4 linked regions of the Alligator mississippiensis genome follow. The protein of the gene in region 3 binds, or shares a complex with, the protein of the main gene of each other region. Links are inferred from orthologs where the notes say so. Each region holds a gene or a part of one and is shown on either strand. Other genes may lie near its edges.

The links.
Region 1: FLCN (region 3) and LAMTOR3 share a complex: the UniProt entries of both Homo sapiens proteins name them as parts of the lysosomal folliculin complex. The link is inferred for Alligator mississippiensis from reciprocal best matches to the Homo sapiens genes FLCN and LAMTOR3.
Region 2: FLCN (region 3) and LAMTOR5 share a complex: the UniProt entries of both Homo sapiens proteins name them as parts of the lysosomal folliculin complex. The link is inferred for Alligator mississippiensis from reciprocal best matches to the Homo sapiens genes FLCN and LAMTOR5.
Region 4: FLCN (region 3) and LAMTOR1 share a complex: the UniProt entries of both Homo sapiens proteins name them as parts of the lysosomal folliculin complex. The link is inferred for Alligator mississippiensis from reciprocal best matches to the Homo sapiens genes FLCN and LAMTOR1.

What each region holds. Positions count from the first base shown.
Region 1 is NC_081825.1:161,212,272-161,220,169, forward strand, and holds the start of LAMTOR3 (ragulator complex protein LAMTOR3), read right to left. Parts: upstream 3,012-7,898; 5' UTR 2,873-3,011; intron 2,867-2,872; exon of another isoform or gene 2,707-2,866; 5' UTR 2,667-2,706; coding exon of another isoform or gene 2,658-2,666; intron 2,368-2,657; coding exon of another isoform or gene 2,333-2,367; intron 2,168-2,332; exon of another isoform or gene 1,593-2,167; 5' UTR 282-1,592; coding exon 176-281; intron 1-175. UniProt on the Homo sapiens protein: As part of the Ragulator complex it is involved in amino acid sensing and activation of mTORC1, a signaling complex promoting cell growth in response to growth factors, energy levels, and amino acids.
Region 2 is NC_081837.1:34,933,791-34,940,311, reverse strand, and holds LAMTOR5 (ragulator complex protein LAMTOR5), read left to right. Parts: upstream 1-4,264; 5' UTR 4,265-4,335; coding exon 4,336-4,370; intron 4,371-4,452; coding exon 4,453-4,514; intron 4,515-4,940; coding exon 4,941-5,058; intron 5,059-5,825; coding exon 5,826-5,886; 3' UTR 5,887-6,020; downstream 6,021-6,521. UniProt on the Homo sapiens protein: As part of the Ragulator complex it is involved in amino acid sensing and activation of mTORC1, a signaling complex promoting cell growth in response to growth factors, energy levels, and amino acids.
Region 3 is NC_081836.1:54,402,737-54,410,268, forward strand, and holds the start of FLCN (folliculin), read right to left. Parts: upstream 3,007-7,532; 5' UTR 2,826-3,006; intron 1,916-2,825; 5' UTR 1,886-1,915; coding exon 1,637-1,885; intron 941-1,636; coding exon 794-940; intron 352-793; coding exon 130-351; intron 1-129. UniProt on the Homo sapiens protein: Multi-functional protein, involved in both the cellular response to amino acid availability and in the regulation of glycolysis.
Region 4 is NC_081824.1:477,691,795-477,699,285, forward strand, and holds the start of LAMTOR1 (ragulator complex protein LAMTOR1), read right to left. Parts: upstream 3,005-7,491; 5' UTR 2,848-3,004; coding exon 2,806-2,847; intron 1-2,805. UniProt on the Homo sapiens protein: Key component of the Ragulator complex, a multiprotein complex involved in amino acid sensing and activation of mTORC1, a signaling complex promoting cell growth in response to growth factors, energy levels, and amino acids.

The sequences.
Region 1 (7,898 bases), on a different chromosome or scaffold from region 3:
CCCTTCAAAGAATCAACTCCCCAGCTGAGAATCACTGGTTTTGACACAGACCTCCGGAAAGGCAGGATCATTTAATCTAGCGCTCCCTCTTAGCCCCCAGCCTTATTTTTCTTAAGAAAACAAAAAACCACTACTCCAAAAAAACCCTACACAACCATTAGAAGTTGTGAATTACCTTTGATAACAGGCACACCATCTCTGTCTGAGACTACAATAGCATGAAGACCTTCAACACTGTAAAAAGAGAGAAAAAGAACATGAGCATTGGGGAGAATTTCCATCCCAGCCTCCTCCCCGTCTTCCTTTCACCAGTTCTTTTTTTTCCTCAGCATTGTCCCCTTACCCATCTACCAACTCTGCTTATGTGCCTGGGGACAGGTACCAGGGTGGGGGCTTAAGCTTGCTATTGTTTTAGCAAGGACCTCATGACTAGAGGTGGAGGTAGGAGCCCTGCCCCTCTGCTCCGTAACCAGTGATGCACTTCAAGTTGGCTGGCTGGGAGCCACCAAGTGACGGCCTTCACTGGATCAGGTACATGATGTCAAAAGGCCTATATATGCCAAGACTGCCCAGGAGGAGGGGTTGTAGCCATGATGAAGACACAGAGCAGCTGAACATCTGCAGCTCTCTCATCATGTGGACACACTACAAACTGTCTGCCTCCAAAGCAACGCTCTATCAGCCTCTGGATGATACTTGAGAGTAAACCACTCGGAACCCAACTAAATATATAGCCTGTAGATCACGCACTTGTGTTACAAAAGCGACCTTGCCACTGTTTACTTAAGAGTTATTTTGTAGTATTTCTCTATCCTGCACCCTCCCCCAAGCCTCCCCTTTGTAACCAATAAAGTTCTTCACTGTATTAAGTCTGGTGGACTTGTTGGGAGAGGCATGCCTTTGTGCCCCCTTGGTCCGGCTGACTAAGGGAGGCTGCTTTTGTGCTTCAGGCTAAAGGAAGCACCCCAAGCTTTTACAGTGGGTTGAGTACCCTCAAGGACTACACGGTGTGTGTACGCAACCCTGGGCAGTGGCGGGGGTAAATGCCAAGCTAGCGGATATGCTCCAGGAAGGGGGTCAGCCAGATGTGAGGCATCCCCAGGGAGGCATTTGAAGGGTGGTAGGTGGTCAGGCGCAGTGAGGTGGGTGGCTCAGTGCAGGAGTGCCCCCTACTGGCCTGCCACAAAGTACACAAAAGCAAGTGTGAGTAAACTGCAAGGAAAAAGGATGTCACCACATTCCCACTGCTATCACTTAAAGCCTTGCTTAATCAAACAGACCTGCAAAATTCACATCGTGCTGTGTTTATGCACATCTTAGAAGTACGAAGGTAACTGTACCAAAAAAAACAAGACCCCTCATGTGGGCCTTTCAGCTTTAGAAGAGGATTACTATGGGAGATGACCCTTAGTGCAGGCTTCACTGCATTTAGAGTCACAGAGCACATCTACTTAGGGATATCAATCAATACCTTAGGCTAGCTACTTGCAGTTATGAGAAACAGAAGTTACCAAGAACCGCCGATCCTTAAAGAAACAAAACAGACGTTTCCCTTGAGTTCAGTAAGTTATCCGTTCTAGCATACTGTTTCCCTGTAGCGCACAATGAAAAGCAGGTTTGAGCTGTGTTGTGTTAAGGTTGATGGTAGTCTCATGTAGAATTCAGATAATGGATTGCATGGGGTGGCTGAGATAGGGATGATCCTGCCTCATGCAGGGGGTTGGACTAGATGGCCTCTGGAGGTCCCTTCCAGCCCTATACCTCAGCCTACTTCAAGGATGTGGGCGTCTTGTGGGTAGAGTACTACATTTTGAGCTGGCAGGGTCTATTTAAGTACTGAACTGAGTAAACACATGTGCTTTTGTGCCCAAAGACACTCTGTTAGAATGACTCCATCGTGGGGTACTGCAGCACTTTACAGAACACCCAGTGGCTCTTGAAGCATCCTGACAGCACAGACAATACAGTGAGCTCTGCTGCAGGCAGAACAGTGACTCAAATTAAATAGCAGCACACACTCTTCACAGAGCAGCACCAGGGATGATCCACCGCAGGAAATTCTGAGGAAGTCACATGACTGCCCACCATGCCCCTAGATGACACACGACACCCTGCCACACCTCCAGAGGACATGTAACACCCCAGCCTCCCTCCCCCCACAGAAGAGAACATGCTGCACCCGTCAAATTCCTGGGATGCTGTGCTGCTGCCCCCACCTGGAGGCCAGGTGGTGCCCACTCCCCCCATGTAACACCACATGCACCACCCCCCCAAAGGCCACGGGACCTCCCCCATCCACAGACCAGGAGGCCACATGATGCACGTGTGTTACCTTGGTAGCTTTTTGTACAGGAACCTTTTCAGGTCCTAGAAAGAGAGAAAAGCATGGCACAGTTCAGCTGCAGGGTCCTGGCCAGCACACGCCTGTGCCCCAAGTGTAAAACTACTTAAGAAGGGGTGTTTCCTGGTGAGGAGGGGAGGTTCCTCATCCCTTCTTCTGGGGGGGCAGCCCCCGAGAGCAAATCTGCTTCACCTCCAGGCGGGGACTCCTGGCACCAGCTCAGCCACGCGGGGAGACCTCCCCCACCACCCCTCTCCCCGGTGCAGACAGCTGGGGAGGGAGGCCGCGCCCCCCAGGCCCCTGCCCCCGCACTCACGTCGGCCATGCTGCGGCGCCTCCGCTCCGCCGTGCTGCGGCCGCTGCTTCTACAACACAAGCGCCGCGGGTCACGACCGAGCCGCGGCCCAGAACCGCCGCCGGAGCCACAGGCCAGGCCTGCCCCGGGGGTAGGAGGAGGCTTGCCCGTCGGGCCCAGCCCCCGCCAGACCCCTTCTGTGGGGAAGGGGAAGGATGGCCCCCAGCCCGCCTCACCCTGGCCACAGGCGGACGGCTCGTCCCGGGCTCGCGCAAAGCAGCCCCGACTCTACTGCTTCCTCTTCGGAAGCGAGTCACATGAGCCGCCACCTCCCTGCCCCGGAAGCGGTTGCCCGCCGCTGCCTCACTTCCGACTTCGGGGAGGACGGGGTGGGAGCTGCGCGCGCCGGGAGGAAGCTACGGGCTGCGGGAGGAGTCATAGCACGCCGGGCCGGGGGCGGCACCGCCTGGGCGTGGCTCGAAGCCGGCGCGCCGCGTCTCCACGGCAACCGCGACGGAGGGGGGCGGGGCCGGGGCCGGGGCCGGGGCCGCTGCCTGGGAAGTAGGCTGAGGCTCGCCCTGGGAAGGGAACGTGGGGCTGGGGGACCGGGCGGGCGCCCTTTGCTGTTTGCTGCTCGAAGGTCCCGTGGCAGGGTGTCAGGTCACCTGTTGTAGGGCCGAGACCGCAGAGTTGGATCACAGATAATTAGGGTTGACAAGGACCTCAGGAGGTCATCTAGTCCAACCCCCAGCTCAGAGCAGGACCAGCCCCGACTGGATCCTCCCAGCCAGGGCTTTGTCTGCCTGGGTTTCAAAAACCTCCCAGGATGGAGTCTGCAGCCTCCCTGGGTAACCTGTTCTCATGTTTTACTAGCCTCCTAGTAAGAGTTTTTCCTAATATCTAACCTAAACTTCCCTTGCTGCAGCTTGAGACTACTGCTCCTTGTTCTGTCACCTGCCACCCCTGAGAACAGTCCAGCTCCATCCTCTTTTGAACCCTCTTCAGGTAGTTAAAGGCTGCTCTCAAATGCCCCCTCAGTCAGGGCTGCAGCCAGGCCAGACCAAATGAGCAGGAGCCACCTCCATGGCCCAGTGGGCAGGACCCGGCGTGGAAGAGCAGTATGCTGCCATGACCTCCAAGGTGAGGCACCCCTTGCCCACCCAGCAGCAGGCCCAGGCCCAACTCCATGCTGCTGCACCTGTTTGGTCTCTGGTAGCACAGCGCTCCCTCCCACACTGGGTCCTGCCTGCTGTACTGCAGAGGCGGATCCTACTTGGAGCTGGTCTAGCCAGGCTGCAACCCCACACCCTGTTGTGGGCACAGAAATCCAAGGCGGACATACCCCCACTCCCCGCCACATCGCTTGTGCCTACCTCCAACCTGTTGCCTACGCCCATACACCCCCTTCCCCACACATGCACTTTGTTCCCCATACACCCACCCCCTTCCTCACACACTTGGGGGAGCTGGGGCCTGCGGGTGGGGGGCAGCAGGTCATGAGCGAGGGGCACTAGGAGGGCTGTAGGCTGGGAGTGAGGGGCAGCGGCATATTAGGGCTGCTCAGTGCCATAAAGCAGCAGGGGGCGGGCAACCACTACTGGACCCATGTTCTGATGAGTGAAGGGGGAGGGGGAGTTCTGATTTTCCATAATAAAAAAACAAAATCATATGCCAAAATATATAGGTATTTAGAATTTATTATAATGACTGAGGCGCTGGTAGGCTTTCAAATTGCTTTAGAATAGTAAATATATCAGCAAAATGTGGTGTTCAACTGATCCCTATAGAGTGTCATTTCATTTTAATTGTGTAAAAACACAGATTTTGGGGTTTATAGTCAGAGAGATTTGGATTTTTAAATAGAAAAAACCAGGATCTCTGTTCATAACCCATTCCTTTTGTCATAGTTCCTACCTACTGTATAAAATTCAGTAAAAGCTATAGGCACAGACAGTTTTTTTTGTGATCATGTATGCCACTCAACTAAACAGCATTTGTTTTAAGAAATCTAATTACTTTATTAATAAAAACAGCAATTAGGATGAAAATCAGATTATCTAATTAGAGAAGACAAGTGTGGCTGTTTAATGCCCTTTTCATTTTTCTCCCAAAATTTAAAAATAATTTTGAACTGTAAGGCAGATTTTCCAGATGAGGTTTATATTTCAGTGTCATTTATTGTTTTAAATTACAGATATTTGCAGTTATCTACTCCTTTGCAGGACTGAAATATGTAGTCATCATTATAAACAAACCTTCCCCCAACATGACAAAATTAGGTTTTAGATTTTTTTTTGTGTAACTCATTTCCATTATGAACTGCTGTGTATTCACTTTTATATGAAAGAGCTTATAGGCTATCTGGTTAGTTACATACGCTAAGCAGACATGTTGGATTATACTAAACCCCTACAGCTTCAGTTCATTGTAAAGTATAAAACTAATTCCCACCTCAGCACACAGAAGGACATTTGTGTACTGTCACTCTAGTACATAATTTTTTAATTCAAAAGTGACAGCTATAATTCCTTCTTCAGAAGCATATACAATTATAACTTTGGTATTTTTTTAACATTAGTTTAGATATGTGCACCAAATACAGGTATTCCTCACTTAATGTTGTCCTGGTTAACATTGTTTCTTTATTACCTCATTAAGCTATTAGAGAACATACTCATTTAAAGTCACATAATGTTCACTTATAACATTGTTTGGCCGCCACCTGCTAGTAGGTAACTACTGTGATGTAACTGTTAACATTGTTTCACTGAAAGTTGGATTTAGCTGTACATAATAATTATGAGCAAAATTAGGGGTGAAATACTAGCCCCACTGAAATCAATAGTAGTACATCATTGACTTCAATGGGGCCAGGATTTCACTTCATGAAATAGTTTATGGTGCATATATAAATAAATCACTGAACACAGTCCTGAGGTCTGCAAGAGGTAGAGCCCTTAATTCTGTATTCATCCCTACAAGTCTTGTTTTTTTCTCTGTCTCTTGACTACTTTTAAACTAACCACAAACTAGCATGTCATGAACACCCAATACTCTTCTTTTTCAAGTCATTTGCCAAAGGAAATATATTGGAATACACTGGAATGTTGTATTTATGAATAATACAATATTATTATAAATAAATTATTATAAATTAAAATTAAACTATAAATAATTAATTAATTATCATTATTATGTTGTTCTCAAATAAGAATCTTTGTTTCAAATAGGTGGTCATCCTTTAGGTAATTACATGCCTGTTTAGAGAAGTCTCAAGTTATAAAATAATCCATAAGGAATGGTAGTATCAAACATCTATCTAGTAGCCATAACATTTTACCCTAAAAAGGACTACTTGATTATTAAGCTGAACATTTTTTATTCTTAGCCTTTAGTTTGTGGTGCTGAGAATACCATAACATCGTTACTTCCTTTTTAAATGCAAACCACTTTTCATGAAGCAAAACTAAAATGGTTAGTCATCAGAGATGTTTTTAACAGGTAAAAAGATAAGATGGTAGCACAGTTTCACACTGAAAATAATTTTATTTTAATATAAGTCTGATATTACATTAGATATATTAGAAATCAGACAAGTATTTTTTTAAAACCTAACCTTTAAATCTTGACTGCGCTACTGAGTTAGACAAAATAATATAAGATCTTTTTTAAGATGCCAACTTCATTTCACTGCATGTCCTTTTGCAAGGCTTCCATTAAATTTATTAGAGGGGTCTTGAGCACAATTTATTTTCAGTTACTGTGGTGCTTGTTTCAAGAGTCTAGAGAACAAATATTCAAGTTCCTTCAGATTTTTAAACCAAGCAATGCTTTTAAAATATCATTGTCTCAGCTGAGCAAGAGCCAGTGCCAGCAGCAGGTTCATAAATGGATTTGAAAATGGCTTAACATTACAGATATTTCATATTTTATTCAAGCTGAGAATTGCTTTTTTACCCTGTCAGCTTTCAGATTGCAGTGCAGAATGAACAGGTATAATTTTCTTTTGAGAACAAATGTTGTAATGAGAATGTCACTCACTCACTGGAAAAAATAAGCCTTTTAAGATCAGTGACAACAGAACCCACCAAAGTTGGATGGATAATTTCTTGGTGCTAATGAAAGCCCTGTTCTGTGCAAACTTACAGAGGTACAATATTAAACAAATCACAAGTTTGAGGTATTAGCTGGATAAAAGTATGTACACCTATACATCTGTGCACATACAATAGTCACAAATCTACTGGCCCCGAGATCAGCAAACCTTGGTATTAAGAGAAAAGAAATCATGTACTGATCAGGGAAATTATACATGCAGAGAAGCTTTAAAAAAAAACACACTTCACAGAATCCTTAATATAAGGAACATTTCTTTTTAACATGCTTAGAAGAAATCAAATAATCTAGAAAAAAAAATCTATTTTAGTAGTGAGGAAGCCTGAAGTGCTCCAGAAAGATTACAAAATCATCTAAAAGATTAGGCCTGGTCCTACATACTGGGTGTATCTACACAAGATGCTAGAAGTGCAGTAGATTAATTCTACTGTGCATTACTGTGTCACGGCGAAAACCATGTTAATGTGCCATACAATTAGTTAACTGCGTATTAGCTTCATGTAAAAGATGTGTGCCAGCGTTACTACGCAGTAGCACAGATTACCATGCATTAATGCATGTGTAGGTGTACTCACTGACACTTAAACGCACAAAAAACCCAAATGTGTATGAAGACTTAAAGGCTGTTTTTTCCTCCCCATTCCAAGCTTTTCATATCTATTTCCTCCTGCCTTCTAATAGTGACAAGCAGAAACCAACATAAGTTTTGAAGTAGCTACCACTAGTCACAGATCATTGTTTACTTGTTCTTCCACTCTACTGTGTTGAAAAACCCCAAAACCTTAATTCATGGCTTATACTTATTTAACTGGATTTGAAAGTTAGGCTTATTTTTGTTCATGAAGCCATCTTTCATATCTGATTACACTCTGCATAACCCTCTAGGCCTCTTGTCATAACACTTGCCTAATTGATAGGGTAATTCAGGACACAAAGACACCAAATCAGATGCTTCATCAGTTTTAATAAACATATTTAAAAGCTCATTATCAATCTGATCACTGTCCTGAAGTTCCTAGTGGAACTGAGCTTTTTTGAACACCCACCCCCAGCCACAAACGCTGATTATTACTGAAAATCTTTCCTTGCATGTTCTCTCTAAGGGCTAAATCTTAAAATTACTTTCAAGCTCCTGAAGCATTTTGA
Region 2 (6,521 bases), on a different chromosome or scaffold from region 3:
TGCATGCGTGCATTGTGTATGGCGTATGAGCACCTGTTGTGCGCAGGTGTGTAGGTCTGTGAGGCAATGATGGAGTAGGTGCGTGCAGTGAGTCCTTGCTGTGTACAAGCATGTGCACCAAGGGATCCTGGGGGCTCAGGGACCCATTCTGCGTGGTCAGGCATGCCATGTGCCCTGCTGCAGCTCTCTGGCGTGATGGAGGACCTTTGTCTCTGTTTCATATCTCCGCATCCACAGAATGACAAACTTCCCTCTCTCCAGGTAATTCACTCTGCCTCCCAATCAGGCCCTGTGCTGCTCTGACAGATGGGATTATACTCAGCTCGCCTCCCTGCTGGCAGTGCGAAATATCAAGAGGGACATTAGTCTCCTTGCTTCTGACTTTCTCATCAGGGAGCGAGTGCTGATGCCCCAGAATTGATGTCCCATTTGATTTAATATACAGGACCTGACATGCAATTCAAATTGTTACATAGGGAACCTGGGACTGACCAGCTGGGGCTGTGCAGGGGGCGTGGAAGAAGGGTGCTGGAGTGTCACATCCTTCATCTCACCAAGGGAGAGGGTAGTATCCCTTTCAAAGCACTGGGACCTCTCTGCTGGGCCCAGGGTCTGCATGATAAGATGTTGCCCAAATCCAGGCCACACTGGCTTTTCCCTGGATTTGACCATATTACTTCTGTCTTTGGATTCAAGGCCCTGGTTTCTTGCCCAAAGGGGGAATCAAACACTTCACGTCCTGCCTCTTCCCTGCCTTCTCCCCCCACATCCTTTAATGCTTGTAACCAACTACCTGCTGCAAGAGGAGGCCAAACCTCACTGTGCTCTGGTGTGCCTGTCATCTATGCAGGAAGAGACAGGTTGCAGCCAGGTCTCTGCCTCTTGTCCATTAATCTCAAAGCACTTTACAAGGTCAATTAGCCATGCTTCTTTCAGAGCTGGGGGGAAACTGAGGCATGGAGGGGTAAAACAGCAGATTTAATGCTACATGGTAAATCAGCAGCAGAGCCTGGAATAAGCTCTGAGTCTAGAGCCAGTCATAATAATAAAGACACCTTGCTCTCGCAGGGGACTTTCCTCCCATAGATTTCAAGGCATTTTACAAAAGAGATGGCCATCATTATCCTCACTTTACAGATGGGGAAAGCACAGGGCAGAAGTAACTGGCTCTGATGACCCAACACACCCTGTTCTGGAACAGGGAGGAGAACCCAAGAGTTCGGATGCACAATCCCCTCGACGAACCACTCAAATCAGCAGGCCTGCATTAGTTTTGTGCACTGAGAAATAATTCAGCATAAAGGGGGTGAGTTAGCTGCCTCGGGTGATGAAAATAGTGTGGCCTCGGCAGCATGGAGCTCAGCAGAGACTAGCTGCCTGAGTATTTACCCAGGATCCTGAATGAATCTCTGCTGTTCTGCTGTGAGTAACCTGTTAGCAGCACCCTGACCAGCTAGGTAAAAGCTAGTTCAGATATGTGTATGTGTACTGTATATATATATATATACACATATATGTATACACACACACACACACACACACACACACATATATATATATATATATATATATATATATATATATATATACACATACACATCTGCTCATGTATGTATGTGAGCTACAGTCACCCCTTGACTCCAATGTAGATATACCCTGAATGGCCTTCCAGATGCGGGCACTTGAAGCAGTGCAGGGGGGGATGTGGCCCATCGATTTGAACAGGCTTCACATGGAGCGAGATGCTGTGCTGGGCGAGTAAGAGTTACAGCAGGGGTGGGCAAAATGTGGCCTGGGGGCCGGATGCAGCCTGCCAGGCCATTCTATCCAACCCGCGGGGCCCCTAAAAAAATTTAGAAAATTAATATTAATCTGCCCTGGGCTGTCATGTGGCCCTCGATGGCTTGCCAAAACTCAGTAAGCGGCCCTCTGCCCAAGATAATTGCCTGCCCCTGAGTTGCAGGGAAGCATGCGAGGAAGCCCTTGTGGCTCATCTGCATCTTTCAGGAGCTGAAGCCTCTATAAGCACAAGCAACAGCACCAACCTAATAACCCTGAATATGATTTATTTAGCCACCCACCGAAAGGTTTCTGAAAAGGATAGAGTGTGTGTGTGTGTGTGTGTTCCTGTTCATGTCCATGCTCGGGAGACCTAACAAGTCATGGCAATTCATCACGCATGAGTTTTTCATGCGAACCTGTTGGGGGGTTTCTTTAACACACCTCATTCCAAGCCTTCACATATGTATTATTAGCAGAACAACAAGCAGCAAGGGTCTCAGTTCGGATCTACACCTGTACAGCTTCAGGTCTGCTTAGCACTGCAGCTATTCAAAGCCACGTTGCGTAGGGAGCGTGAAATGATCACACCTCTTAGGTGACAGTTATGCTGGCAACTTCCCCGGCAGCTACGTAAAGCTATGTCAGCAGGAAGGATGTAATGCAATAAAGCACCTAAGCCCAGCTCTATAGATTCTGGATCTGATTCACCATCACCACATAACTCGCGTCATCAACGCCAGCAAACGTAAAACATGACCTTGCAGCATTTTACGCCCACCTTACAGCAGTGTCACTGAGTGATGACACAGTATGTAGGATAACAGAGGATTGGCATGGGGGAGAGACTCAGAAGGCACATCCCTCATCTCATCTTTTTCTGCTGAGGGATCTCAGAGTCCAGTCATTTCTGAGCTACTTCTGGCTGGCTGAGGGCTTAGATGGCTTGCCCTGCAAACAGCACACATGTGCTACTCCCTTCTGGAGCAGCCATGAATCTGCGCATGGCGTGGAAACTGCTCTTAGCTTGGACATGCTTGTGTTGGTGCTGCCCACTGCCAGCCTGCTGTGCTTGGAAAGGTCTTCATGGACTGGATTTCTCTGGGTGCACACTTCCAGCCACAGGAGCACTGGTGTTTGGGCTGAAAGTCAGGCTGGGCTGCGCACTGGATATGATCGCCTACATGCCAGCTGTGGATATTGTGCAAATGATGCACAATGTGCTGGTGCAGGATGTGGATTTAGTGCCCTCCAGTGGGGAATACAGGAAGGGCCACAGCCACGTCCCTTCTGTACTGTGCCTATTCCTCTGTCACACAGCTAATTAAAAAGTAGACAGTAACAAATAGCTGCCATGTCCTGGGGAGACGACTTACATGGGATCTAAAGGGGAGTTGGGTGGGGATGTAAAGGTGGCACTGGCAGCTTGGACAACGGCGGTTGCTTTTCCAGGGCCAAGCAAGTGTTCAGAGCCACTGCTGCAGAGGAAAGCAAAGCACTCATGTGTTATTCCCTGGTGCAAAGCAGTGACCAGGAGAAAGAAAACTTCCTGTTGTCTAACACAGTCCCCTGCCCCCCCTCCCCCCATTGCAGTACAGCAGCTTATCCTAGGATGCAGAACAAGGACTCAAGGAAGTGAGGAGTCACGGCTCTGATTCAGCTGTGAATCAAGGCCACAGCCTGGGCGGCAACCTGGGTGCAGTTTGATGGCCCTGCATAGGCACCAACTTTGGGTTTTGCCGGTGGACGCTTGCAGCCATAGCAAAACAAAATGGTAATTCACTTTAAACTCGGCGCGTTCCTGTGCTGAGCCCAGAAGAGGCAACGCAGCATTACTTCAACCCGGCTCTGCAACATCGATGAAGACTGGGCACTTTAGTGGCGCTTTTTGTATCTAATAGCTGATTGAATTGGCTTTAGCTACAAGTGTCAAAACGCCCTGCTGAAGCGCTCAGTCTTTACTGATGCTGCAGAGCCGGGTTGAAGTAACATGCTACCTCTTTCGGTAAAGCGTGGGGGGCTGGGGTCCTTTTTAACATCGGCAAGCAGGAAATGGCTGTGGCTCTTGGGTGCTGAGCACCCACTCATATTTTTCAGTGGGTGCTTTTGCCCCAGAGCACCCACGGAGTCGGCGCCTACACAGGCTTCGCCCCTGGATGAAGGCAGCCAGGCCGCGCGGAGCTTTTGGGCTCCTCTTCCTCAGAGCGGGGTCAGCTGCTCCCCGCCCCCAGCTCCCCAACCCTGGCACCCCCAGCCCTGGAGGGGAGGCGCAGCTCTCTGGACTCAGTACACCTCTCAGTGCACCCCTCACTGGATTCACTGCACCCCTCACTGGTCTGCCTCAATGCACCCTCATTCGACTCCATGCACGTCCGCTGGACTCCATTTCCCACGCTCCAGCCTCAGTTCCAGCAGCACGGCTGGCAAATCCCGCCCTCTACACCTTTCGCGTTACGGGGAATCTTGAGGCTCCGCAGCACCCGTCCGGCAGCTCCAGCGCTTATCACGTGACGGGCGGCAGCTGAGCGGGGCGGAAGTGACCGAGCCTGTGGCGCCATGGAGGGGGCCCTGGAGCAGCACCTGGAGGACACGTGCGTGCGGGGCCGGGGCCGGGGCCGGGGGCGAGGCGGGTCGGGGCCGGGCGAGTGACCGAGCTGTGGCTTTGCCCCGCAGGATGAAGAACCCGTCCGTCGTGGGCGTGCTGTGCACGGACTCGCAAGGGCTGAACCTGGGCTGTGAGTACCCCCCCCCCCCCGTTTCCATAAGGCGCCTGGCTCGTGCCAGGGGGCAGATGCTTGCCCTGCCCGCCAGCCCCGTGCTGGGCAGGGAAACCCCGCCCCAGACCCAGCACCAGCCCCGCGGGCTCGCTCCGTTTGGCATCCTGCTTCTAGCCCGAGCACCTGCATCTCCCAGGAGATCTGACCCTACTAAAGCACAAGTATCTTCAGACCCAACTCAGGTGGGGGAGGGGGAGCGTGGGCGCGTTGGCCAGCACTTCTTTAAGCAGCTCTCAGATCATTTTGGGTGTCCTTGAGATGTTGCGGAAGACGGCCGAGTTCGGGAAGACATTCGGCTGAAGTACAAAGCAGGTGTGATTGGCGATTGCTGTCGAGACACTTGTTTTGGTGAACTTGGATACAGATCTCTCTCGTGCCCTGCAGGTCGCGGGACGCTTTCTGATGAACACGCAGGGGTGATCTCAGTTCTGGCTCAGCAGGCAGCCAAGTTAACTTCAGACCCCACTGATATCCCTGTGGTGTGTCTGGAATCGGATCATGGGTGAGTGTCTGGGTGTCCATCCTTGTTGCTGTTTTTTTTTTATTTTTCCTCCTTGGTTTGCTCGAACGCTTCTGGGACTGGGATCTTAGAACTGCCTCCTTCATCTCCAGGTGGCTTTTAAGTTTTGTGTGTCGCCGCTTGGAAGGAGGTACAGGGCGAGAGGCACCTCCTGCAGGGCCTGCGCCAAGGGAACATCGAGAGACTGTTCCTGTCCTTTCTCTTGAGTTTATCCAGGGATTGTTTGTTAGGAATTGGGGGGGGGGGGGGGGGTCTCAAATGAGCATCTTCTGAGACTGCGAGAGACCCATGTGTCCTTACAATCACTGGATGCTCATTTGAGATGCACCCCCCATTCCTGTTTCTAACTGTACTGCTGGCTTTTTGGAAGTGGTTAGAATGACCAGCTAGTGTCACTTTTGCATTGTATTTATGACTACCGAAGCAATGCTATGGTGCTTATGTTCCTGTTTATAATCAATTTTTACAAAGGAAGTTAGGTAGACAGACTTGCCTTCACAGCCCACCTAAACACTCCAAGGTACTTCCAAACTTTGAATTGCAAGGAGACTCTTGGAAATGTTATGTATCCTACAATGATGTAATTAGTAAAGATGGCAAGCCAAGTATTTCTTTCATTAGATCTTATGTGTAATCTTGCCTCTGACACGCCACGGCATATGCTAAACCTAAAGGCATTTCTAGCACTGGTTTTGAGATGAGCTACTAGTCTTGGAAAATTCTAACTGTTTAAATATTTGCTGTTTCAGGAACATCATGATCAAGAAGCACGATGGCATCACTGTAGCAGTGCACAAACTGGCATCTTGACCTTTCACCAGTCTGCTTGGTTGTTTCGACACCCTTGCAACAACTTCTGCTTGTTGGACTCCTACCTCCCTCTGTAATATAGCATGTGCTTGTAAAACTACACGTGGGCCAACTATTAAATGCTTGGTAACTTTCCTGTGTGTTTAGACTGCTACTGTATATCGGTCAGCATCTTTAATTTCCAGCACATTACAGGACATGTACTGTCAAGTGTAAAATGAGGTTTCACTTATTTTGCTTCTGTAATGAAAAGGTATAGTATGTGGCCTTACATCATTTATTCATTTATCCAATGAGTGAGAACACATGCAGTGAGTTCAACACTTCAGTTGGTAGGTGAAGTGGAAGTACACCACTATCTAACACTTTAGAGAAAGACAGAAGCTTAGGAGTCACTATTCCTTCCTTTCAGGGAAGGTTACTTCCTGCTTATTAGCAGTCCCTCAACTTTTTGGGAAGATAAGTTCTGTTTTCTGTACCTTAGGGGGTGGCGGGGAAATCAAACTCATTCAGGCTGCCTTTTGACACCAAAGTCAAAAAAGCACATGCCCCATTCTTCAAGTCCCTTTACAGGAAACCTTTAATCTTGTCTAGTTAAAGGCAGACAGCTTTGTTGTATTGGAAACATCTTGGAT
Region 3 (7,532 bases):
AAACTCCTCCTGCAACTCCAACTGTACATCCTGCATTTTGCTTCCTCTTCCAAATCAATGCATATGTATCTATTCTGCCCACCCCTCTTGCACTCACTGCTATTAGAATTCTCTCCAGAGCAGATTCACCTTGAGTGCTTTGCCCTGAAGCTCATCAATGATGCCTCGGATTTTTCCCAGCAGAAAAGGCCAGGAGTTGATGAGGTAGATCCGATCCATCATTATTGTAATGATGCTGTACCAGCGCTGAAAGCCACGAGCCAGGCTGTCTTTGATGAAGAACGTGTGGCTGAACACAAAGCCATGCTGTTCATCGCCAAAGAAGATGGGACCTTCACGTCCTGGGCAGACCTGGAAGGGAGAGACTGGTTTAAACACATCATTTAACTGAAACAGCATCATGTCCCCCCCAACCCTCTCTCTCAAAGCTTGATAAGTTTGAAGAGCATAAGGTGAAGACACAAACACTCAAGTTAACGGAGGTTCTCCCACATACAGACGAAATGAGGAAAGTTAAAGATCCATTCAGAAGAGTTCAGAAATACTTAAAGCAAATTAACTTAATCACTAACAGCCTTTTTGTGTCTCATGAACAGGCGCAAACTAACACTTTCTTCTTTTCCAGATCAATTAAAAAAAGAATTCCTGCCAATAACTGGCTCAAAGTGGTTTTGCTTTCCCTTCTACCCCCGTCCCCATCTGTTACAAGGGTGAGAGCAGCAGTGTAGTGCCTTACGCTAAAAGGCACAGAAGTCCCTGAACAGATTTTCTTTCTGTTTCCCACATCACTTACCTCGCAACTCAGGCTGCGAACACAGGCCTGGCGCACAATGCTGAAGAGCTGTGGATGGTTTGGGTGCTGGTGGCTGACATATTTGATTGAGGTCTCTTTGTCGTGGCTGACATATCCAGGGTGTCCTGCTGCAAGGGAGCGGCAACCCTGAACACAAAAAACCACCAAGTTAGGACACAACCATCTACCTAACGTAACCAGGTACTTCTGTTACTGCAGTACCTGAACTCTTCTCTCCACCTTTTCTGCCTCACTACATCCCCTTTGCTTATCCTTATTTGATAGATGGGAACCAAGAGAGTCAGGGGCTAAGGGATTTGCCCATAACCAGAAAGAAAGTCTGTGACAGTCTCCCAACTAGTATCCTGCCATTTGAAACATCCTTCCTACAGTGCTCTTTTCACTCATGCACAGAGCCACGTATTTTATGTTGCGTATGCAACTTCAAATTCACCTAATGATGGAAGTAGCTGCGACTCCAGTGACTTAACATCTGTCAGTGATACCCGAGAGAAACCAACACCTAGCAACAAGTCCTCACGAAAGGTATCAAGAAGACTTAAGCAGAAGAGCACGTGCACAGAAACATCAGTGCTGCTAACTACACTTCCACCGCTACTTTACCTGGGTGTAGGACTTACTTTCTGCTCTACATCTCTATGAAGGCACTGGCAAACAACTGTGATACTTTAACTAGAAACTGGCTTCTTTCCAATGGAGGTGAAATAGTTGTTACCCATTACAGTTTAAAAGGGTGTGGGAACTATTTGTTTTCCTCTTCAATTGTAATGCCTTTTATCTAAGCCAAGGACACACTGTGTACAGACACGGGCACACATTTACCTCACACATGTCTGACTTCTTTGGCCCAGGACTGCTGGAGTCAGCACTGGCACCCTCCGCCGGGCTGTGCGACCGGATCCTACTGCTCATCTGAATGCCACCTTCCTCCTCCTCGGCCTGCTCGCTCTGCCCAGGACTGTCTCCATTCCCCGCGCCTTGAGGAAGGGGCGAATGCAAAACTTCTGTGCAAAACAGGGTGCGAGGGCCGTGGAGCTCGCAGAAATGACAAAGGGCAACGATAGCATTCATTGCGATAGCTTGGCTTGCCCGTCAGGCCTCCTGCAAATGAGGAAGGAAACAGCGATGTCAGCATAAGGAACAGAGTGAAACACCCTGCGCCCTGTTTGCCACTAGCCCCGTTCTTCCCCCAGCGGGAAGCCTGGAGACCGGCTCGGCTCCTGTCTCCTGAGGCCGTGCACAGCTACAAGGCCACAAATCATACTTCTGGCCGTGCTATGTGTCTCCGCACTAAGTGGATCCGTCAGTTTAGTGCAGGGCACGGGGCTGACCCAGCCCGTGCGACTCCCCAGCCACCCTGCAGCACACCTGATTAAATCAGCTTAATTGCCCATTTGGCACCTGGCTTCTCCCCAGGACAGGGGGGCACCTGCCTCCCCCAGCTGGGACCCGCTGTGGGAGCGCTTGTGGCCGAGCCGGGACCTGACCTCCCCCCAAGGAGCACTGGCCTGGCCAGCCCCACAGCGGGGTCTGGTGACCCCCAGCACCAGCACGTCTGTCCCCACAGAGCGAGCACCCAAGTCCCCCGCTGTGACCGCATTGAATCCCCCCCCCGTGGGGGCAGCAGCCCCTGCCCCTCGCTGGGCCCTCCCGTACCCCAGGGCCCAATGCGGGGTCCCTGCCCCCCCCCAGCAGGCCTATGGGCAGACCCCCCATCACAGGGGTCACCCCCCAACATGGATGCCCCCCCAAACAACCCCCCAGCAGTGACGTGACTCCCCCTGCACTGGTGTGACCCCCATGTGAGGGGTCCCCGTGCAGTGAGGTAACCTCATGTGAGGAGTCCTGCCCCCCCCGCAGTGACGTAACCCCCCTGTGGGGGTCCTGCCCCCCCCGCAATGATGCAGCCCCCCGTGTGGGGGATCCTGACCGCCCGCAGTGACGTGCCCCCCCCGTGCCCCGCCCCCAGCAGGGACCAGGCTCCCCGCGCCCCGGGGTCGCGACCACTCACCCGGCGCCTCCTGGTCCCCCCGCCCGGCCGGTCCCGTGGCTCAGTCCGCCTGACACAGCCTGGCAGGGCGGCCCATACCACCTGACGGGGGGGGGGAAGTGCCCGGCTGCCCAAGCCGTGCGGCTCGCGCCCGTTGAGGAGCGCGGCGGGCAGCGAGGAGGCGATACGAACACAACGGCCGCCCCGTCCCCCACCGTCACCTTCTCCGCTCGTCTTGCCAACCCACCATACCCCCCCCGTCTGTTTGTATGGTACAACCCGAGGCTATCCCACTCCACAGGCTGAGGACGGAACCATTTCTTCGCGGGGGGTTGGGAGCGTTGGCGTGGCAAGGCCGCCTGCGGCGGGTCGCACGCGAGGGTGCAGCGGCGGAGCCCATTGACGATAGTAGGGAGAGGGGTGGGAACAACTGTCCTGCTCTGCCTGATAAGGTGCAACCGCCCCCCCCCCCCCAAGCCCCGCGGTGACAGGAGAGATGGTGCGGCCCGTCAGGCTCAGTCATGTGACATATACAAGGCTGGGGGCGTGGCCTGCCGAGCTGGGTGGAGCCACGTGCAGCAGAGACCCCAGCAGTCGGGAGCGGGAGATAGTGCATTTACTGGAATGCAAGACGAGGTCGTCCCCCCCCCCCCCTTTTATATTCACATACAAGGAAACCTCATGCAGTGCAGCCTAGCATTGCCTTTCCTCTTGCCTGTGGGCAGCAAACCAAAACTTGATCACCACCCCAAGTGGGGTCACAACCCCAGCAGACAGGGTCTTGGGGTGCAGGGGAAAAGTTCAGGACACAGCCTCTACCCTGAGGAACTGGCTAGGAGCAACCACCTTAAGCTGCAGCAGGGGCACATTGAGGTTGGAGATGAGAAGAAACATTTGAGCTAGGAAGGTGGCCAAGGCCTGGACGGGGCGGAGAGGAAGTGTAGAGTCTCCGTCCTCAGAAGTTTCCAAGAGCAGGTTGGACAGGTGCTTGGGTAGGATGGTTTAGCCAGGGATGATCCTGTGTTGGCGAGGTGCTGGACTAGATGTGACCTGCTCCAGCCTGCCTTCCCTATGGTTCTACAAGATCTGCACCTTATGGACTAACTAAGACAGAAGGAAAGCACAAGCTTCTGTGAACACGAGGTCGGTGCTCAAGCGAGGTAATCTCTGAAATAAAGATGCAGAGAAGTAGACACATTAAAAAGAGCTCCCTGTACCTTTTCCTTTAGTCTTGGCATCTCTCTCTGCACGTGCGCTTTCTGTCCTAAAGGACAAATGTCCAAAATCCTTCCCCCACACATCCCCTCTTAAATACCAGGCACGCTGATTTTTTTTTTCTTGCTCAAGATACCAGCATGCAGGGTGGTCCAAGGGTAATTGGTGCCCCTAGGTGAACTGTGCACCCACCATTTCCAGTACAGCGGTGGGGTGGGTGTGCTGGCCACGAGAGAGGGGCACTAGCAGCACCGGGGGCAGAGGTGATGCAAGGTAGAGCTGTAGCCAGACAGGGCTGTTATTTAGAATGATGTTCCCATTATTTTGTTCTGCATATAATTTTGGTGCCCCCCCCCCCAATTTGGCGCCCTAGACAACTGCCTAATTCACCTAATGGTTGGACTGGCCCTGCCAGCGCGTCTTGTCTGTCTTTAGCACTAAGCAGAGATCAGAAAAATCCCATCCTTGCTTGTGCATGGACTACAGCCCTCCTCATTACTTGAACTTTTAATCTTACAGCACACAAATCTCTATCAGCACAAAACTTGATCAGCATGAAGAAACACTGAACAGGCCAGCTCTCCTCCCTTCCTCCACAGCTCAATTTGTAATTGTGCTTCCCACAGCAAGTTTACTTGTTGCAGAATATTTAGTGTTTTATCACCTTGATTTAGACCTATAACCTAACCTCCAGCAGTAATAGTAATGGAGGTAGATTCACCAAAAGCTTGTTTAGAGGGGAAACAAAAAAATAATCCCTATATTGGACATCTAAACAGAGCAATGGTCTATCAACGGCTGTTGGTGAAGTCTGATCCATATTGTTTCAAGCCAATAGCTTGTTAAATCCCTGCTAAATAAAACATGGCTAGACTTCACAATTCACAGTGGCTGTCCTGAAACATGATATTTAAAGATGTGCTTTGACACAGGAAGCTGTGCCAAGAACTACACTCCCATTAAAAAAATACACTGCATGTTCAAGTATTGGGACCACCACAGTACAGATTCACAAGACTTTTCTCTGACACAAGCACACAGTATTTCTTCTTGTACTAGAGGTAATTGCTAGACCCTATCAGAACTGAGATTTCTGTATTGTCCCATCTCTATTTCCAAAGTAGGTCTAAGAACCCTCCAAAAACAGATATACTTGTACAAATCAACCAGCCAAACAGCACTTTCCTTTTCTGCTAGAGATGCCTCGTGAGCTTCAAAGCTTAACCAGTATCTGTTGAAGTGCTTGGTGGCAAAGTGCAAAACATTACCACATGCACCAGCCTGAAAAGTCTCATTCCAACCCCTGAGAATTACAATTCCTTGATAGAGTAAAAATGACTTAATAAGGGGGGGGGGGGGAAGGAGAGGGTTACTTTACAAAAAAATCCCCATAAAGTAGTAATAAAACCAGTCTGGAAAATCTAGCATCTCCTTCTTCCAGGCCAGCCAGAGTGTATTTAAAACAAACTAAGAAGAGTTAACTTGTTTGTGATCTTTATTTTTCCAACAGTACATTTAAACAACTTCTCAGGACTAACCTCCTCAGCCAATTTTGCCATGCAGGGAGAAAAAAAAAATAGAGTCATTTCCTAAATTGTACAGTTAACCTAGGACAACACACAGAACGGGTCACAATCGCCGTGTCGTGAAGGGAGAGGAATGGCGAGAGGAGCAATTTTAGTCAGGCAGCAGCACCTGGAGCAATGCAACAATATTGTGTGCGCGAAGCTCAGTAAAGGAATTGCTCAGTGGCACTCCTCTGTGGCAGGAGCATTACAAAAATTGTTCACAGAACAGTGGGGAGCCATTTAATTTGTTCAGCATTACACTCCCTGTTAAACATCTGAACTGAAGCCCCACCCCGTGGCCAACTACCATCATTGCAAGGCAGGCCACATCTTTTTTTCCTCCAAGTTAAAATGCAGTTAACAACTAGATGCAAAGTGTAGGTTAGGGAGTGGGCAGTTTAACTGCTTAGAGAACGGGGAAGAGGGGAAAAAATGCTCAGCATTAACAAGTGTAAACTGATCTGATCCACCTCTTCTGTCTCGTCTCGGGCTAAAAACAGACTTGCCCCTTCTCTAGAAAAAAGCCTTTTGTAATGGGATCCTAGTCCCACACACCCATTGTCCCACTTCAAGTACCCGTGAAGTACCAAGATAAGATGTGCTAATGCTGTTTCCCAGGACAATCGCAGCCCATTCATTCCAAGGACAAGCTAAAGGGATGTGCCAGTCAGGTCAGAACTACCTCAAACACAATGTCTGTTTTTAGCCTTGCAGTAAATGACTGATCCGTGGTAAATTAAATGCTCTTTCATTTAGGGTAAACTGCCCCAGTTCAACTTTAGCCTAGTGCAGGATGAACAGAAAGCTAGAGCAGTCAGACTGAATCACAGTCAAGTCTCTGCTTCCTCCTCAGAACACTTATTGCTCACCTATCCACACCCTTATTTGAGAGTGTGCACGTATCTAATATTTTGCGAGCACCTTGAGGACGTGCAAGACCTGAAGATGCGGCCACAGGATTTTGTGTATGTTAAAATAAGACAAGTCTTCTATCCAGTGTTCTTAAGCAGTGTGTCTTTTCTTACCACAGGGAAGCATTCACACTAAATCCAAAATACTGAAGCATCCTCAAAGCTTCTCAGTTCCCCATCAGGATGTGAATGGTCCTGCACCTTCTAAAAGCAATTCAGATGAAAACAATGCAAAGACTCAGTTTGCAACAATTTCCAAGACCTTAATGATATCAGAACTGAAACACTGCTTGTCTTACCCCAGTGCATCTTGGTGCCTTACGGTTCATGTCAAACCGAACACTTGGAGGTGGCATTATCATTTTCAAAGCTGTTTTACCCCAGCTATGAATGTGAGAGGAAGAGGTGTGGCCAAATTCTCAACTGGCTTTGAAATGTTTAAAACTCACATTTCTAACACAGAAATAAAAAAATATTGTGCTATGAAGAACTATGCAACTTGAAATATTACATAATACTTGTACAACATTCGTTTATAATATGGGGCTTACTTTATGCAACTCTGAAGGTGTGATACCGCTACCTTTTATCAACTGCATATAATAAACGCTAGTTTGCTTCTTGCGGTATTATAGTCTGCTGGAGTTATTTGAGACAAGCCCACAGAACAATAACAGGACCTGCTTACAGTATAGTTCAGCTGCCACTTACAAGATCAAAATAAACTTTCTACCGTTAGAACTTCAACAAAATACTTTGGGTACATTTACTTCCCACTTAAATGATTCCTCTTTGATTGAGGGAACATTTTGACATATTTGTATAAGTAGCAGTTTGTGGTTAGACATTTTCTATATTCCTTGGGTGGTTACTGTACCTAATTTCACAGGCTTTCACAACAACTCCTCACTCAAGCCTGCAGTGCCATCAATCTTACACTTGACACATTTCCATGGCGCCAGGGTAGAAAACTGGATAGCACATTCAGCATTTAATCCTGCAGTGGTTTTAATAAGGCATTTAAAAACATATCA
Region 4 (7,491 bases), on a different chromosome or scaffold from region 3:
GAAGTTGTGCAACTGCCTTGCAGTCTAGTGGCTTCCCTGTGGCAGCAGCTGACTGCAGATGAGCCCTTGGTTACTTCCCATTTTGGAGGGGGCCACAACAGCCGGAGACTTCCGTAGGGCCCGTGCTGCCCAGGCAGGAAACAGGCCCAGCTGGTGTCATATCATGGGCCCCAGGCACCAGAGAGAAGCCCACCCTGGAGAAGGGAGAGCTCACGCCTCTCAGCTGCTTCCTCCCCATGTTTCACTGCCTGGGCCTCGTCACTTACTATAAGAGCACGGGACAGTGTTTTATGCCTATACTTGAGGGGTGGAAAAGTGCAGAACACGGACCCATGCCGATATGCACACGCATCCGCTCCCAAGGCTGTGACAAGCCACCCTGAACCCAACCCCCATCTGCTCCAGTCCGAGGGGCTCTGGGGAGGCAGCGTCTAGGCCCAGGCAGTGCCAGGAACATCCACGCAGCGGAAGGACTGAAAAGGCAGGTCCGGATCCTGTATGGGTGAAAGTTCTGCCTTTCCTGCTAGGGAAGAAGGGGCCAAGCTTGGGTTTGCACAGCTGAATAATGAGAGCTTGCAAGGGTGTGTCCTGCACCAACTACACATGAACGCCCTCAAATGTGTGTACGGGCAGGCCTAGGAGGGGAGGAATTCAGAGAGGTATCAGGGCCATCAGCTCCAGCAAAGCAGGCTCAGGCAGTCTAGGCAATCAACTAAACTCTCCGGACAAAGGGCAAATAAGTGTCTGGCCCGGTTGGTCTCCATGGTGATTCTGCACAGCTGAAGTAAGGAAATTAAGGAAGGTTTAGAGACAAATGCAGAGCGAGACTTTCCAGTAGCAAGCTTGAGCAAGCTGTTCCACCACTGACTAAGCACTGGGTTTCCAGTACCTCCTTGGGATGGCTCAACTGTCACCAGACCAGCAGAAGGGGCCAGTTTCAGTCACCAGGTGCTTGGTAAAGCCAGCTGGATCGTGACCTAGTCAAGACAAGCCCTTGCACTGGGTTTGCCTATACACCTCCACCCCGCTTCACTCCTGTTGCAACTCGGGTGTGCCCCATTCAAAGCCAGACCACATCACCAGAGCCTCAAAAACAAGAGTCCTTTCAAGCTCTCAGCAAAGGAAACACAGCTCTGATTGAGGAGCAGCCTTGCTGCCAAGTCAGTCATTAATTAACCCTAGAATATTATTACCATCTCCATCCTTCTGGCAATCCCACTATCTCCAATGTCACTGGATAGCTGTCGATTAGGTGCTATGAGACGCAATCTGGGGTCTTCCTGGGACAGATTTAAGCAGCAGCTCCTGTCTGTCCAACATGCATGCACTGACTTCACACAGGGGGCAGCTTCTTACCCCCTGAAGCCAGGTAAATACCACTGTGTGCAAGGCTTGGAGGAGATGGGGTATCCTGCATTTGGCTGGTTTCCCTACATCAGTTGCTGGCTAATCTACCAAGAACAAGGTCCAAATCTCTGCCCCACGCTTGCACCTAGAAGTCTATCTGGACCGGGATGTGCAGGCCGTCACCGAACGCAAGCAAGCACGTTCCAGAACCGCAGCGGTCCTTCCGGTGCATGTTGAACTCAAACCAACGCTCCTTACAAATATCTGATTCCCACTAACTGGTGGCCACACTTAAAACTTATTTTACATTCAGAGAGGTCCTGAGCTCATTCATTTGGGAAAAGGCCAGAAGACCAGGATAAAACATAACTCCCACAGAGCGAAGGAAGATGCTGTCTGCGGTCCTCCCATCTCACTTTTGCAGCCGCTTTGTTCCAATAGGAAGGACCAGCTGAACCAGATTTTGTCCACAGGGTTACCCATCCCACTCCCAAAACCCACCACGCACTGCCAGCCAACCCCAGGCAGCTCTGCGAGAGCCACCTGTAAGCGTGCAAAGGGAACACCGTCTCCAAGGCTCAAGCCGGTCTCTGTCGAGGCTGCCAACCAGGGGATTTAATTAGCGTCAGCTCTGCTGAAGGGTTTGGCAAAGCCGACGCCAGCTTACCGGGAATTTAAAGGAGGCCCCTAAACTTCTTGCACAGCTACGAATCTGCCGTCACACCGGCACTACTGGCAACTCGTGCTGGGTTCGAACCAGCGCGCCGACAAGGAAAGGGCCAGGGACGAGCGGCGGTGGGGCCCAGCTCCGTGCCACTGTAGGCACGAGGCCTCCGAGCCCTGGTGAACCCAAGCCGAGCACCCCGACCAGCAGCGCGGAGGGCAAGCAGTGGAAAGAGGCGGCCTGCTCCCTCATTTTCTGGCACCAGAAACGACCCAGCAGCGGAGGCTCCCCCCGCTCGCCCCGCAGCCTGTAACGCAGCGACCGGGGGAGGAAGGGACCCGACCGACCAGGTGCTGCCTTCGCTTGCCCACAGCAGCCGCAGAGGAAACCCGCCCCCTTCCGAAGGGAAAAGCCTCCGTCTCCACCAGGGTCAGGGCAGACCCACCCCATGGCCCCGGCCCCGCCCCGCCTCCTAGGTCACCCCGCAGGGTGGCAAGCCCTGACTGAGAGCCCCACCCCCCTCCGCCCACGCACCAGCCCACCACGCACGCGGGGGCACCCTCCCCCCCAAGCCCGCAGCGCTGCTCCCAACCTCGCCCCCCCCCCCCCCCCCGGGGCGAGCAGCCTCCTGCCCCGCGCCCCCTCCCCGTGCCAAGTCCCTCCCTTGAGGCCTCAAGCCCCCCCTCCCCAAGGGCCTACCCATCCCCCCCCCTTCAGGGACCCCTCTAGGCCCCTCCCATCCGAGGGTCTCCCACCCAAACCCTCCCCTCCCCCTTCAGGGACCCCTCCCCCACCTGGTCGGAGGCCTCGTTCTCGCTGCTGTAGCAGCACCCCATGGCCGGGCCGAGCCGGGCCGGGCCGGGAGGCGGGGGCGGGGGGCGCTGTCCGGCTGGGCCCGGCCGCCCCGGTCACATGAGCCCTCGCTCCAACAACAAGCGGGAGGGAGGAGATGGGGTGGGTGAAGTGGGGGGGGGGGAAAAGAGGCGGCCACTCCCCCCGGCCCCACTCCGCCGCTTCCGGGCACGTGACCCGCCTGCCGCTCCCCCGGCACGTGACCGGCGGGGAGGGGGAGAGAGAGCGAGAGAGAGAGAGAGAGAGAGAGAGAGAGACAGAGAGAGGGGGGCCAATCGGCGCGCTCCGCTGGGGGTCACGTGGCGAGGGAGGCCGGAGCCCGGCGGGGGGGGGGAACCGGCCGCGCGTCCCTTGGGTCACGTGATAGGGGGCAGGGCTATAGAAGAGCCTGGGGCTGCGTGGGGTGCTTTCAGACAGGGTGTCTGGGTTAACTGGGGCTTCAGCGCCTCCAAGGGTGGAGACTCTTTCTTCTGTTTGACTCCTAAGTGAGGGAGTTTTTCCAGCCTCAACTTTCCTTGCTGCAGCCTGTGCCCATTGCCCCTTGTCCTGCCAGCTGGCCCTGCTGAGCGCAGCCCAACTCTGTCCTCTTTGCAACCCCCCCCCACCCACCACCCTTGGGGTGCAGGTGTCTGAGAGGGAGACTTGCACTTGCTTCTCTGGATGCACCCGGGACCGTGGTGTCCTGGATTGGTTTCCCCCACCCAGAGAGTGGCAGGGGCACCTTGCGAAACCTGCTGGGGAGCGCCTGCACTACATGCAGCGGTTAAATGCAATGGTTAGCGTGGGTTTTTTTCTTTTTTTACTGTACTCCCCTGCACATGACGTGAATGAAGACAAAAAAAGGTCTTTCCTGTTGTAAGTCACTGAGTCGCAGCAGCTAAGGAGCCCAACCCGGTTCGTTCTTCCGCTCTCGGTGGATGGGGTGGCTTGTGCCACGTGGACGCTTCAGTGACTGAAACTGCTATTGCCATATTTCTTTGCCTACAACGTGCACCCCTATTCCCAGCCCCTGCTTTTTGGGGGAAATGGCGTGTGTTGTACGTGAGCCGATGCAGGGATTCCTGTGTTTAACGAAGCCAAACCCCAGCTGTGGGGGGCAGGTCTGGAGCTGGCACACCTCTGTGCTGAGGAACCTCCTGTGTCTCCAGAGCAGGAAGGGAAATTTGGGTGATGCACCTGACTGTCCCCATTCGATCAACAGGACACACAACTGCTGCACGTGGTAAATGGAGCGCAGGCAGCCTCGGGCTGAGCTTTATTTACAGTGGCCTGGAGGTCCGGCTCCTCTGCTCCTTGCTGCTCCTTTCCAAGCAGAGGGCAGGCTGGTGTGGCTGTTTCCCTCTTTCACTTCCCCTAACCCCAGCTCATCCTAGTGCTTCCTTCCTTGCCTTGTAAAAGGTCTGTTCTCCACCGAGGCTGTGAGGCTCCGAGGCAGGAGAAGCAGAGTGGATTTCAGTTTTACCCTTCTCTCCGTCCTGTGAGCCACAGAGCTTGTTCCTCTTCGGCCTCCCACATGGGCCACATCTCCTGCTTGCTATTTCCAGCCGCTAACCGGAGAGGCCCTGCCTGCTCTTGCATATTTCCCTGGTGAGAGAGAGAAAATCGAGTCCGTGATCATCCCCAGGAACCGCATCCTGGTCCTTTGGAGCTACTGGAAGTGTCTGGGCATTGTTGCTCTCTGCATGAGCTTGCATCACAGATCAATGCATCATGCACACCTACACGTGTGTATCCTGAGAGAGCACGCTCTAGTCCTGCCTTCGAGAGCTTTTAGCAGACCTCTTTGTGCGTGCCGAGGCAGTAACTGCTCTCCGTTAGCTTGCTGAATAGAGGCCTGGGATCTCCGAGCCGATGGGAAACGGGACTTGCAGCCAGTCAGTTGGATGCTTTGCAGATAGGAATTTATCACCACAGTTGCCTGAGGCAGCAGCCGTTTTCTGTACAGAGATGACCAGCACCTGACCCTTTCTCATGCACTGTCATGCCATTCTCTAGGGAGCTGAAGTTCCCCATCTTTTTCTTCTCTTCATGTCACTACACCACATTTGACCGGGTTTTTTTTGTTACGCATGCTTCTGCTCATTTTTTCTACTTTGCGGGATCTCTTACTTTACACGTGCCTTCAAGCAGCAGGCATTGCAGCATGTGTTGCATAGTCTGAGGCTCTGTGCTGCAGTCACAGGTGGGGTTGACCCAATGGCATATCCTCACTTCTTCGTTAGTTCCTTGGAGTATCCAACTCTGGTACGCAGGCGGTTGAGACATTGCCACCTTTGCCATGGTTCGTCAGCCCCCCGGTGCCAAGAACTCAGCTGCTGGAACGTCCATTTTTTTGGTTTGGGGGGGGGGGGTTCCAGCCTCATAGCAGAAGCATTCACGTTGTGACCCCTGTCAGCTAATCCCTGGTAATCCCTGCAAATTCTGCTAATGCTCCAAACCATGATTTTGATGTTCCCCATAATAAGCTGTGACTCTCATTAGCCTTGCAGAGCTGAAATACTGACAGGAGAGGGAGCTGTTTTCCATCCTGGCTCTCAAGATTGCCGGCTGGGCGCAAACTGGACAGATCACAGACCCCTGGGAGAGCAGTGGGGCTGGAAGAGACCTCACGTCTGGTCCAACCCCCTGCCTGAGGTAGCATCAGCCCTGTCCAAACCATCCCAGGCAAATTCACTGTCCAACCTCTGAGCAAAACAACAGTCACCGGACACAGCACCAGGCATCGCACCCAACCCTGCCGCAGGGAAGGCAAGAGGGACTGCGGCTGCCAACGTTTGACAGTGCAGTCTCAAGGGACACTGTCAAGGACACATGGTGCTTCTGTGCCAGAGCTAGAGCAGTTCCCAGCTACAGAAGCCTCATTCCTCTGCCCTTTGGACGCTCCTAGGTGAAGGCCAAAAAGGAAGGGGGATTTTCTGTCTGGCAGTAGCTTGCAGAAATGCCTGCTCAAGGGTTGTGGTGGGAAGCCCCTAGGAACCAAAGTGTGTCTGTCTTAACTGGGGAGATTTTGTCCCTGTTCCAAACCAGGGTCTCTTCCCTAGATGCCTGTTTGGGCACCGCTGCACTGAGGCAGTTACCTCCAGCCCCAGGAACCCTGTCTCGGGGCAGGCCTGTCTAAACAGCCCTGGACAAGGCAGTGAAAATGCCCTGCAGAGCACTCCCCTGGACTAGGGAGCCCCTTGTTCCCCGGACCATCAGGAGCTGTAGCTAGAAGGCTACATCATTTCCCAGCCCAGTCAAGAACTCATAGAAAATTCAGGTTGGAAGGGACCTCAGGAGGTCACATCTAGTCCAACCCCCTGTCAAGCTGGGTCTTCAAAACCTCCAAGGATGGAGACTCTACCACCGCTCTGGGGAGCCTGTTCCAGTGCTTTAGTACCCTCCCCATGAGAACATTTTCCTTAATATCCAACCTCAACTTCCCTTGCTGCAGCCTGAGCCCGTTGCTCCTTGTCCTGTCATGTGCCCCCACTGAGAATAGTGCAGCTCCATCCTCTTTGCAACCCCCTGCAGGGAGTTGGAGGCTGCTATTCAATCCCCCTCGGTCTTCTCTCAGTCATGGTGGGGGAATCAGCCAAGATCCCAGGAAGGTCCCATGCGCCTGCAATTCCAGCCCTGCCATGACCACACTGAGAGCAGCGTGTAATTGAAGCTTTTGGCTCAAGTCACTGGCTAATTACACGACTGTCCTGCTCTGATTCATGCCTGGAGAGTCCTGTAACTTTCCCTTTCTTCCCCAAAGCAATTTCCTCTGAAGTCCAGTGAGTACCAGGTCACGAGGGCAAGGATAAAACATAGCAATGCTTCTTTCACCTGCTGAAGGGCCGGAGGCTGAATGCATGGGTCTGGACCTCTTTGCAGACCCTGGCTCTGGTTAAATGATGGGTAAAATTAATCTCTTTAGTGTATTGACCGCCTTTCTGCTGCTTGATGCTTGTCCACCTCCCAATGCTGCTGTGAAACAGGGTTGGCATGAGAGACTTGGGTGATAGACAACATGAAATTCAACACAGACGAACCAAATAGCCACATGCAGGGCAGTGACCGCTGGAAAGGATGCACTGTGTCCAGCCTGGGGGGCGACGTTTTAAGAAGGACGTAGAGAAGCTGGAGGGGATCCAGAGGCGAGCAATGATGATGCTAAAGGGGCTGCAGTGCCGCTATATAAAAAAAGAATGAGGATGAGGTGTGGTTTGGAGGACAGGAGACGGAGCAGGGGTCAGAGGCTGCTGGAAAGCAAAAGAGACTGGCAGTGCCCCCAGCTGAACAGGGCAGGGTCTGAGGCAATGGGTTTGTTGAGAGCAGGGCTCAGGAAGGACTTCCCACCCATTGGGGCCACAGGGCACTGAGACAAACTGCCTGGGGACGGGGGAATCTCCTCCCCTGGGGCTCCAAGCAGGGGCTGGGCTGGTGCAGGAGCACTGAGGATGCACCTAGGCAGGGGCTATACTGAAATAGCAGCGGGGACTCAGGGCTAGGACTGAGGTGACTGGCAGGTGGGGGCGGGATTGGGCAAGCAGGGGAGGCTACAGGGGAGAGATGCATTTGATTAGAGGGTATCGAATGCCTGGCGCTGTTGGTGCCAAATAACTTTGAGGTAAACAGGCTCTTCCAACTTTTCTCTATAT